3 linked regions of the Nothobranchius furzeri genome follow. The protein of the gene in region 2 purifies or fractionates together with the protein of the main gene of each other region. This does not show direct contact. Links are inferred from orthologs where the notes say so. Each region holds a gene or a part of one and is shown on either strand. Other genes may lie near its edges.

What was found.
Region 1: the proteins of usp10 (region 2) and prkaa1 purify together in Homo sapiens (affinity purification with western blotting; 3 studies listed by BioGRID). This does not show direct contact. The link is inferred for Nothobranchius furzeri from reciprocal best matches to the Homo sapiens genes USP10 and PRKAA1.
Region 3: the proteins of usp10 (region 2) and sirt6 purify together in Homo sapiens (affinity purification with western blotting; 4 studies listed by BioGRID, with this or other methods). This does not show direct contact. The link is inferred for Nothobranchius furzeri from reciprocal best matches to the Homo sapiens genes USP10 and SIRT6.

Annotation. Positions count from the first base shown.
Region 1 is NC_091746.1:66,880,594-66,884,246, reverse strand, and holds part of prkaa1 (5'-AMP-activated protein kinase catalytic subunit alpha-1), read left to right. Parts: intron 1-271; coding exon 272-413; intron 414-3,653. UniProt on the Homo sapiens protein: Catalytic subunit of AMP-activated protein kinase (AMPK), an energy sensor protein kinase that plays a key role in regulating cellular energy metabolism.
Region 2 is NC_091749.1:59,303,005-59,307,446, forward strand, and holds the start of usp10 (ubiquitin carboxyl-terminal hydrolase 10), read right to left. Parts: upstream 2,806-4,442; 5' UTR 2,706-2,805; coding exon 2,526-2,705; intron 2,045-2,525; exon of another isoform or gene 1,912-2,044; intron 1-1,911. UniProt on the Homo sapiens protein: Hydrolase that can remove conjugated ubiquitin from target proteins such as p53/TP53, RPS2/us5, RPS3/us3, RPS10/eS10, BECN1, SNX3 and CFTR.
Region 3 is NC_091751.1:57,917,165-57,920,817, reverse strand, and holds part of sirt6 (NAD-dependent protein deacylase sirtuin-6), read right to left. Parts: intron 589-3,653; coding exon 406-588; intron 1-405. UniProt on the Homo sapiens protein: NAD-dependent protein deacetylase, deacylase and mono-ADP-ribosyltransferase that plays an essential role in DNA damage repair, telomere maintenance, metabolic homeostasis, inflammation, tumorigenesis and aging.

The sequences.
Region 1 (3,653 bases), on a different chromosome or scaffold from region 2:
CACTTCTTTACCCTTGTCTGTTACATGTAAACAAGCAAGTGTGATTATATTTGTTTAGCTCAAACTCACCATTCTCCCTGTGTTTTGTGTAAAAATACAGAAATAAGAAGTAATCACAGGCTTAGGGTTGATACTTTTGTTTGTTTCTAAGAAAACTACACTTGTCAAGATTTTCTGTTATGAAGATGTGCTTAATTATGTTTTTCATAATTTGCGAGCCTTAGCTGGATGATTTGTACTATTCAAACACTCTGATGTGTTCACCCTGCAGTGGGCCAACATGAACTCACCAAGCATCAAGTGGCAGTGAAGATCCTGAACAGGCAGAAGATCCGCAGCTTGGATGTGGTGGGGAAAATTCGTCGGGAGATCCAGAACCTCAAGCTTTTCAGGCATCCTCACATAATTAAACTGTAAGTCCTAGATGACACACTGCTCACTTCTCCATAATCCCCTCACTGCCACATTAATGCCACCCACTCAGCTGCTTCCAGACTTTAGAACGGTGTGTTCACGAATACAGCCATCAGGATGATGTCTCTCTGACCCAGTCTGCTCTTCCACGAGCGCTCGGCCTGCTAGTTGCAGCGTGACCTCTTTGTCATGAATCCCTTCATCTTTAATGTGAGATCATAAGTTGCCGCTTTTATTCCAGGTTTATTAGTTGCTACAGTAATCACACAGGCTGTCATGTTTTAGGTCGTTTGTGGGCGACATCTGCACCAGTTGAGTCTTTATTACACCCTAATGTGCCAAGTCGAGTTAACACACGTATACAAATACGTGTTTTTACTAGCATACAGTAGGAATGCACAGACACTGGAGTAGTACTCATCTAAAAATAGTGTTGGAAATTGCAAAAGTACTTCCTGTCTGACCTGTGATGTCCCGAGTATTTCAGCTGCAGCTAGAGCGTTGTTAAACGGACCAGGAGGGGTGGGGGCGGCTAATCTGAACATCAGCTCGTGTCGTGCATGCACAAGAATGTAAACTTTGTGTGTGAGAGCTGCACAAACCTCTGGGACAAAGTGTGTAACTCTGCCTTAGAAATGTCATGCAACATAAACCTAAACCGCCAGCAGTGCTACATTTATTGAATCTCTGCATTAATGTCATGTTTGTTTATGTTTGTTTGTTTTCCAAGCCCTTACATATCTGCATTGCTGAAGTTGCATAAACATTTTTAAAGGTCAGGCTGTTGGTGTGAAAGGTGGATGTTTGATTTGTAAAGTCCTAAAACAGAACGAGAAGCAACAAAGATTTCTGAAAATAGACAAAAGGTAGTCTGATCTGATGTGTATTGCTTTTAAAAAAATATAATCTTTAATTTTTACTTATATTGCTGTAAGGACCTAATAAAGATATTTTTTATATTTAATATTAATAAATTGTATTTAAAAGCAACTATTAGGAGACCCAAGGAGGGCTGAGCAATAAATCAAACATTTATCGTTATCGAAATTTCTGACTCTTATGGGGATATTGTTTCTCATGTCAATAAATCTGATAATAAAAACTGAAAAGAGGTGTGTAGGTTGGCAACGTTCATGTCCCTTTAAGAAGCTGTACCACCTTTAGTCACGTAAAAATGTGACTCAGCGTATTAACAGCCCCATCTAGTGGACAACTTTTTTTTCTGCGCATACCTGATCGCCCAAGATGCACCGAGGACGTACCGTCCTGTTTGTTTAACTGAGTGGCGCGCTGGCCCGGAGCCAAACGACGGTCCCGAGCTGCGCACCTCCGGCTATGTTTATCCGGTCCCGGGAAAACGTCGGAGGAAAAGAGGTAAACGAGCAGGAATCCAGGTCAGAATAAGACTTCTCTTAAAGCGTGGTTTATCTAGTAAACATCGGCGCGATCTTCTAGCTTCTTGTCCTTTGTTTGGTGACCTGAGCGCCACTTCCGCATTCCCGCCAGGCCGCTTTGCAGCGCGGTACATCCATCCAAGTTTTTTAAGGTCGGTTTGTCCTCATTCCTCAGTGGTTTCTCCTCCTGTTCCCTCCATAAGTGGTTTTTACAAACACCGTGGATCTAACCCTGCTAATTTATGTCCACTAACTCCAGCTGTTTCTGTAGTTTCTGATTCCTCCACCCTCACTCAGCATGGCTCTATTAAATACCCGCTCTGTTAACAATAAGTCCTTCCTGCTCAATGATTTAATTCTCTCTAAAAACCTGGATTTTCTGTTTCTGACTGAAGTTTGGCAGCAAACATCTGATTATTCTGCTCTGATTGAACTCTGCCCGAGTGGTTATTCTTTTCTTAGCCAGCCCCGGGGTTCTGGTCGTGGTGGAGGCCTAGCTGTTGTTTTCAGAGACCATCTTCCAGGTAGCTCTACAACCTCTGGTCAGTTTGCTTCCTTTGAACTGCAGCTGATTAAAGTCGGGCGTAAGGACCCGTTCTACTGTGCTGTGGTCTATTGTCCACCTGGTCCAAACGGTTCTTTCCTTCAGGAGTTTAGTGACTTTCTATCCTCCACTGTGAAGCTGTCCAGACTGGTGATTGTGGGTGACTTTAACTTCCACGTTGATGATCCCTCTGATCACTTTGCCATGAATTTCTCCAGCCTTATGGACTCCTTCAGCTTTACCCAGCATGTTTCTGGCCCCACACACACCAGGGGGCACACTCTAGACCTTGTTTTTACCCTGGGTCTAAATGCTGACAGTGTTTGTCCTGAGGACGTTTATATTTCAGATCACCATTGCATTTTCTTTAACTTGTCAGTTTCTGCGTCCCCACCATATGGTTAGTTCTCGTTTTCTTAATGAGAGCACAGCTTGCACATCCACATCACCCCGCTTCTCCTCCAGCTTCACTGGCTGCCAGTCAACTTCAGGGTTCATTTCAAGATCCTGGTTCTGGTCTATAGGGCCTTACATGGACGAGCACTATCATACATTGGTGATCTTCTCAGTCCCTACACCCCCAGCAGGTCCCTGAGGTCCAGTGATCAAAGCCTACTGGTTATGCAGCGCACCAGGCTAAAGACCAAAGGTGACAGATCATCTGCAGCTGTGGCCCCCAGACTCTGGAACTCTCTCCCCCTGAGCCTGAGATCAGTGGACTCAGTGGTCTCCTTTAAAAGCAGCTGAAGACTCACCTGTTCAAGCTGGCCATCACCACTCTCTCTTTATTCTGCTCTCCCCACCTATTCCACCTTCCTCAGGATCCACTGATTTCCCTCTTTCCTATTCACTCTCTCTTTCTTAACATTTTTTAATCACAATTGCCTATTTTTGCTAATTTAAAATATATTTTTAAACATTTTCTAAATGCTTTTTTATATTTTTACATTTTTTGTTTTTGTAAAGCGCCTCGTGATTTTTATCTTGAGAGGCGCTATAGAAATGATATTTTCTTCTTCTTCTTCTACCTGTAGTTAATGTCCATTTATCGTTATTGAGGTGAAATCCTCAATATGTTGTGATATTGATTTTAGGCCATGTCGCCCAGCTCTACACTCAAAGTCAGTCCACAATAAAAGAGACAATAAAACGGATCAACAAAAACAGTAAAAAAAATAACTAGTAAAAGCAAACACAGTACAGCAGTAGGTGGAAACAGCAAGTGACAAACCGTGTAGCTACAGATGTCCGAGTCGTGTTATTGGTGGTTTTTAGACAAATGCAAGAGAACCACTTTAATG
Region 2 (4,442 bases):
CAATAAATAGCCGGCTGTGAAAAGGGAAGGCACAGAGAAAAGAAAGTGCAGTTCAAGCATATGTAACTCTTTGCAAACAAGGCCCCCCCATTAGGGCTCACATTGCTGAAACAGCACAACAAGTGACAAACAGCCGGCTTTAATCCCAGCAGCCTCGGAACAACTCGGTCACAACAGAAAGAATGTCCCTTTGCATCTTTTTATGAGCATACAACAGATTACAACAAATTGGACATCTGTATAATTTCAGCTATTGCACGATGACACAACACACTTGACCATTTCATGAAAACTCTGAGATACACACGGGTATAAAAGATGCCAAGATGCCAGCAGATGTATTTGTTTCAGGCATATTCATGTGATTTATGAGAAACTATTATGGTATTAAATAATCTTCAGAAATTTTCTACATAATTAAACGACTAAACCAATTTGCTTCTCTGCAATATTTCTGTTGACAAACCTTTAATATTTATGAAATCTACACGCTGGGAATCAAACACAAATTCTGAGGAAAGTTTGTGTACTCTGACAGAAACAGATCCCTATGTCAACATGAGAAGCTGTAGAACACTGCTAAGTGTGCATGCACCTGCAGGGACATGTCATTACTTTAAAATACACATTAGAAGACAGGAAGGATATATACTTTTAATTGTTTTAATATAAATAAGCAATACAACTATATTTCTTAGCAGTGCAACAACTATTAAAAGTGGTATTTAAGTAGAAATAACCCAAAATGCAATAATTACTACCTGTTCACCATAAAAAATGTTTAATTCTGAAAGCCTGAAAATCAAATAAATCAAACATAACTTGTTTCTGTCTTTCAGCCTTTAGATTTGAATGACCATGCAAAAAATAAGCAGAACCAAATCTGCCATTATCAATAGAAACGGGTAAAAAGTATAACTGACAAGATTTTCCAGCATGACCTGTTTCCTAACCTTTATCTCTTCACTATAGAAGAAGTATGACCTGCTTTGACTGATGTTTGTATTTGGTAACCTATAAGTGTGTGCACACATTTTGTTATTCAGTTCACTTTAACAGCAGCTGCTTCATTCAAGAATTTAAATGTGAACAACAATTAAACAGGATTTTTTAAATCTAATAATGGTTGAAATTTGCTCAATTTAAATGGAGGGGAATCAATATTTCTCAGTAAATATTGACCATTTACCCCATGCCTAAAAGTTGACAAATACTCTTGTGATAAGAGAAATCAAATATTTCAGGGCTGATACCTGATCATTTCACAACGTAAATGTACTTTTGTATAAAAGGGGGAAAAAAGGCTGAAACTGAATTTAATTTATTTTATTTTTATTTTTTTGGTTCTCGTAAACCACTGCTTTGCTGAACAGTCAGCCAACAGAAATGCTCAGTTTGGGGCAGGAAAAGGTGTGAAAACATAATTTCCAGTGATACGTCGCTTCCTGTAATAAATATACATGTTTTGTTGAACATTTAATTCAAACGAACGGCTTATGACGGGTTCCTAATTGATGTGCTTTCGTTTAAATAAAACACTAACTTTGAGTCAAACACAACAAACCCCGGACTTACTTGCAAGTTACTGCATGCACACCTCAAAACGGGCCTTCCCACATGAAGGTTAGCCTCCACGGAATTAAAACCCGAATCTGCTTCCTACAGACTAACTTCTATCACACAGCGAGAAGAGCTAGTTTGCGTTTGCATACGCGAATTGCCCATAGCTAATTTTATCGTGTGTCTACTTACGTTTGCATAAAATGTCAAAATACGAATTAAGGCCCACGCTGTCGCACAGTATTCAGCTAACCAGCAAGCGAAATGACAGCAATGCACACCACCTGTGCAAAACTGCTAGCCTGCTAACAGCTAAATAAGCTCGAAAATGCATCTCATCTTTGGCTTTACTTCTGCTAGCATACGCCTACATTTGCTTGCGGAAAAATATCCGCGAATCGGAACTTGCACCTGATATTGGACGTGTATTCAGTAGTATTGATTTAAGAAAACAAAGTCGAGAAGGCCCGTGTCAGCAGAGCAGGTGGGCCGTGCAAACACGCAGCAGTTTCCTTTCCTGTGACTTCTCTCTTAACAAATAATTCATGACAATCGTAGAATCTGGTACCAAGCAATCCCTGTCGTTTCATTATGCGGGCTGTAGAACCGATTAGATGAAAAAATGCTTTCGTAGCTTTTAAAAATAGCAGTAAGCAGTACTGCTGGCTCATTTGAATGGAGGATCGCACGGCCTGTTAGCAATGTTACCATGCTGGTTGTGTTTCATTGGGAGGAGGGGGGGTGGATGGGGGGCATTAGCAAGCACTTTTCAGCACTACGAATTTCAATGACACGATCAAATCGCTGTTGTAAATGAAAACACACAACTTAGCATAACACGAATATGGTATGATAATTATTTGGTGAACATGTTTTTGCAAAAGAGAGGTGATCGTAAAGCTTTAAATAACGGTTAGATGAATTCCACATTCAGTTGTTTTACTGGCTAATGCTAGCCGAGCTACCTGGTTGCTGTAAGAAGCCATGCTCCTGGTGAGATTTTCTCCCCTCCGCTGACCAGATGAAAACTTCCCCGGGAAGGTGTTACGGGTTTGTAATAACTGCAAACAGTGCTCTACTTTGACGTCATTGTCAGTGGTCCATCGATGTATTTTCAGTTGAAAACTGTGATCCGTGTAATGCATCCGCACTTCATGGTGCTCGACTTGCCATATTCTTCGCTAGCTAGCCAAACCAGCGCGCGGTCGACGAGTAGCAGCGACGGCTCGTGGAGTGATGGTAAATACTTCCGTTAACGGTTAGCTTGTGCCTTCACAATAAAAACATTGGGAATGTCGTAAAGTTGTAATATTTTGGGCAAATTTATTTAAAAAAATTACCAAAAAATGGCATATTACAAAAATTGCAATTATTATTTACCTTTAACATTTCAGTCTTTATCTCTGAAGAAATATGTTTTTTTTATGTTTTCACAAACATGTTTCATAAGAGTTTCATATAAACTTGTTGCATTTAGTTTTACTTTGTACAATTTTTTTAATTATCAATGAAAAATAAATGAATAAAAGTAATTGTTACAACAGTGGGACTTATGTGGTATCAGCTTAGTAAAATTCGCCTTTTATTATTTCAGTCAATGTGATTCGAACTCCAGCAGAGCTTTGATAAGTTTCATTAAGTTTGTCTGTAGAGTTGTGTACTTGACTCAGGTGAAATTCATTTCAGCAGTGCCCGCCTCATCTTTAACATTTTGATTTAATTGTGGGTTTATTCTTTGCAAAGGTCCCTGTCATTTGTGTAATTCCTCAAAGGTCCATCTTGGGGCCAGTTCTATTTACATTATGGGTCCTGTATCCTATCTTTCACATTTTTTAATCATCATTTAGAAAATATCCTGATCTAAATGCCCTTTAAGAAAAGAATAGAGAATAAATTAAATTTCTTTGAAGAAATGATATCTGCAATAAACTGTCAAATAATTTGAAATTAAAATTTTTAATGTTAAAAATAAAAAGCTTCACCCCTACAACATAAACCCTTCCTATGAAAGTAAATAAATATAACTAATAAACATACACGTTTGTAATTTTGTAAGTAGCCTATAAAGCATTTTATTTTTTAATGAGACCTTGAAACAAACTGCCTCCTTTGGCTGTTAATTAAATCAGAATTAAACGAATAATGTGATACAGGACAATTTTTGTAGCTTTAATGTTAAATAGGTTAAAATAACAGACTATGGACATTGTCTGAAGGGTTCCACAACTAGACAATAGGTCCTATTTATTTACTTGTTCATTTAGTTGTTTATTTCAGCAGTGAACATTTTGTTTAATACAACAGGTAGACTATATCAGCTGTTAAAACTCTCGTATACAAAATGAAGAAAACAAATTTCACACGAATATCTCCAATCTGTTATTATTTCATATACTTTTATTATGAAAAGTCTATTTTCCTCGGCGGAAATGCTTCGGATGAAACGGGTAAATTCACTTCGCTTGAGCGCTGACCTCGTGGTCGTGTGTCGTCCGGGTTGTGGCATGAATTGCCAAATTTGGTGTTCTAGACATTAGTTTAACCGAAAACAAAAACTTTTATAACCGTTTTCAGTTTGATCTAAATCTTTGCGAAGAGGTTTCCATTTTTGTCCAAAACAGCAAAATAACAGCAGTTTTTTGTTTGGGAGTCCACACGCACTAAATAAATGGTGCAGAAACATTTTTTCACATAAACAATACCTTCAACACAAAGATGGCAATAAAAACGCATTTAAACCACCGTTATTGGAAGAGTTTCTGTTTAGTGCTCAGCTCAGAAAGTAGAAAAACAGTCGAGCCTGTGGGCGTGGCAAAGCACAGGTGAGGGAAGAAGGAAGGAACGAAATCAGGAAACTAGCCCGTGAGGAATGCCAGTAGCTG
Region 3 (3,653 bases), on a different chromosome or scaffold from region 2:
TTAGGCTGCTGCCCCCGTGACCCGACTCCAGATAAGCGGCTGAAAATGGATGGATGGATGAATATAAAAGCAAGTCTGCACGTATTTTACAGCAAAACTATTTCAGAAAAGTAAAATTTGGGCGCAGTAATAAAATATGCTCTGGAACACAGATTTACTGCAGTTTTAAAGGTCTGATGTGTCTCCCACTTCCTGGTGGTTAAGTCTCCAGACTCTTTCTGAAGCCAGTGTTCGTCTCTTCTGTAACGATGGGTTGAAAACTCAAAGTAAAACCATAAGCACCAACTATAACATCTGAACTGAACTTAAATAATTGTATTCCGGTCAATCGATCGTACGTTCCACATAATGATTTTGAATCTACCTTGAGCGGAGTGGTGGGATACAGCTACAGAATGAGGTTACCTGGGGAAGCCCGATCGAACGTGCAGACCATCTACATTCTGGCTGATGAGATACTTGAGGTATCCGGCCCGCTGCAGTCCCAGGAGGGCCAGGTGAGTCAAACTGGGGCGCGCATCTTCAAAGGTGGTATCAAAGTGCGGCGACTCACCCTTTTCCTCTAAAGTCCACACTCCCTTGGGACCCCTGAAGAGAATACATGGAGCACGCATTAAGGGGATTGGAAAGGGGAAGAAACATGTCTGCATTCTGAATTTGTTATTAAAGGAGTAAAACCGTAACAGGATTGGAAATGTGTGTAAACATGTTGTCGAAAGCTTTTAGGCTAATCCCAATGAAAATATGAAAAATTGATTGAATTTTCTCCTTCTAGATAAACTTTGAAGATACAAAATTATTCTAAGAGCACAAATATCATAAGCAGCAACTGAGATGTTGGCAGTTGTGTTTCTTTGTTTAACAGGACAGTTTAGGTGTCTTGACTGGACTCCCGTGTCTATGCATCAGACGAGGGAACGCACCCTGTCAGTCCTCAAACGCGAGAGTAAACAGACTCATCTCTCGCTTTCAGTTTGAACTTCCAGCTCAATCTTTTATCAGCGGTTTGGTTTAATGCCTGCTCAGCAGAGACGAGTTCAAAGGCTCGTCAGCGGCGAGGCATTGGGACGAATGTCACTCATCACTTACGTCACATATCGCCATGGAAAACACAAAAACAGACTGCAGGACAATGAATATCAGTGCATTCACACACTTTGATGCCGTCAATCATGTTAACCTGGGGGGCATGAACGTTGTGCACATCTCTGGCAGGAATGCATTTTGCATTAGAGGGAACAGCGCGTATACGGTAACCTTGGTTTTAATGATGCAACCTCCAGGGTCACACCCAGCTGACTGACAGGAAGATCAATCGAATATTCATCTGTTCCACATCCCTAAGCATGTATGTGTGTGTATAAATATAAACAGAAATAACACTTCACATATGATTTTGTAGAGGTTTACTTTGTAGGGCAAGGGGGAAAAGCACATCTTGGTGTACTGAAGAACATAAAAGATGCTACTTTGTTCCAGGTGGATTTGAAGCAAACACCACCCTCCTGTGCTGAACGACGGTACTACAACAGAAAGAAATGCTTTTCACGTGCAGTCAGGTATTCTCTCTTGGTTATTTGGTCAGCTCTAATATCTAATTCAGCACCAATAAGAAATTAATGAGATAATAAAAAAATCCTAAAGTGAAGAATAATTTATGGAATTATTCATGTCAGCAGCAGGCAAATTCTCATGTATGACTTTCCAATGATTTGATGTGTACCAACTTCAGCTATGAGGGGTCTGACTTTTATTGCTGTACTTTAAAAGAAAACATATTATGACCTTCCTTATCAAGTTCTCATAGCTCTATGGCTGAAACAAAACCTTTTAATGAAGTTATTTTCACTAGATCCCTCTCACATGAGACAATTTCAGCAGTTTTATCCATGACCTTTTCAGTACCTTCCAGAATAAGTCATTTCAAGGCCCTGTCGCTTAAAGAAAACAAGCTAGAGCTGACCATGCCCACCCATCACCCACTCAGACATTCGGGAGGGGCTCGGGGTAGAGCCACTGTTCAACCAACAGCAGCTCATAGGGTTGTGTTGAAAAAAAAAATCGATTCTCATAAAAATTCATGAGGATCAATTAGTACGTCCAAAGATGGATTTACCCAGTTTAAAGACCACTGAGAACTGTTTAAAACAGCTACAAAAGATTATTGGAATGGGACTTTAAGCACCAAAGATTCTTGAAATTTGAATCAATACCCAGCTCTACATGAGAGGTCATTCTTTGCCAATTTCCCCATTTGTGACATCACAAGAAGGACTTTTTGAAACTGCTTGTTTTAGAAACATATTTTCTGAAATCAAACACTGACAGAAAACAGATGGACGGGTTTTTATTCCCACAAATGGAGTGTTTATAGAGGGAGTAGACATTCATATGGCAGCACAAGGATGCAAAAGATGAGTTTTGCATAATATGTCATAATATGTAAGGCAAGTTCTGAATGTTAATATTCAATCTATTTGAAATAAAACAAAAGAAAATGTTAGACCTTAATTCAAAATATCCACTTTATTTTATCTATGTAAAAATATAAATAACTTTAGCCTCAATAAAGTTTAATGGTTACAACTGAAATCACTAATGAACCAAAATGTTAATCTGATCATGAAAAATAAAGCATTAAAAAAATCTGCCTACAGCTAAATGAAAGAAAATAACCTTCAACAGTCAGGAGAAGTCTAAAAATGGATAATACATTATTTTATATACCAAAGAGTCTAAAACTACCCAAGGAGCTGATGTGGAGTCCATCTCATGTTGAGTTTCTGGTCGTATACACCCTCTCATCTAAATACAACTGAAAAAAACTACAAGACAGCTACAATCTAAACTTTGTTGTATAGTTTGTGGATCTATGACATTTCTAGAAGTTGCTCTTTTTATACAATTGTCTCTGAAACCAAGTAAAATTATATTTAAAAACTATGCTTGGTTTACATTAGTGAACTAAGCTCACACTGATCTATAAATGGTAGACTTTGAACAATTAAAGGTCTGGAACGCTCTTTTAGTCATTACATTTGAAGTGGTTACTTATACTTCTCCATTAGCTGTGGAGTGTTGCAAAGAAATTCCTCACCAGTACAACAGAGGGTTGGTGGTTAGGGTAGGGTATTGCACTTTTCTGGGGTATCCTGTCACCATTACAGTCCTGTATCCAGTCCAAGATAGTGTATTTACTATGGAGTTTATATTGTGTTATTTTTGTATTTCAGATTCCTTTTAACATAGACAAATTTGTCCCTCATATTTCGCCACCTCTTTGTGTGTTCGCCACCTTTAAACCCACGTTTCCTGTCATTTCCATCCACAAATAAAACGGTTGCTTTTTACTCCTCTAGTCACGGGTGAATAAAACACTCACATTTTCAGAGATTTTCCACAAGTTATTCTTCAAGCTGCTCTGTGTCTGCTGCTAGATATCTTCGGCACTCTTTATTTTTTGAAGGACAAATGGAGGTGCTGTTGACAAATTTTAAAGAAATGGCCAATCACAAGCTTTACTCGCCTCAGACCAATCTTGAAACGGAGGCATTTGGAGTCAGTCATCCATGCTTTTATTACCTCTCGCCTGGACTGTGTAAACGCCCTCCTAGTTGGTGCTCCGGTCTCTGCCCTGAATCGGCTGCAGGTCG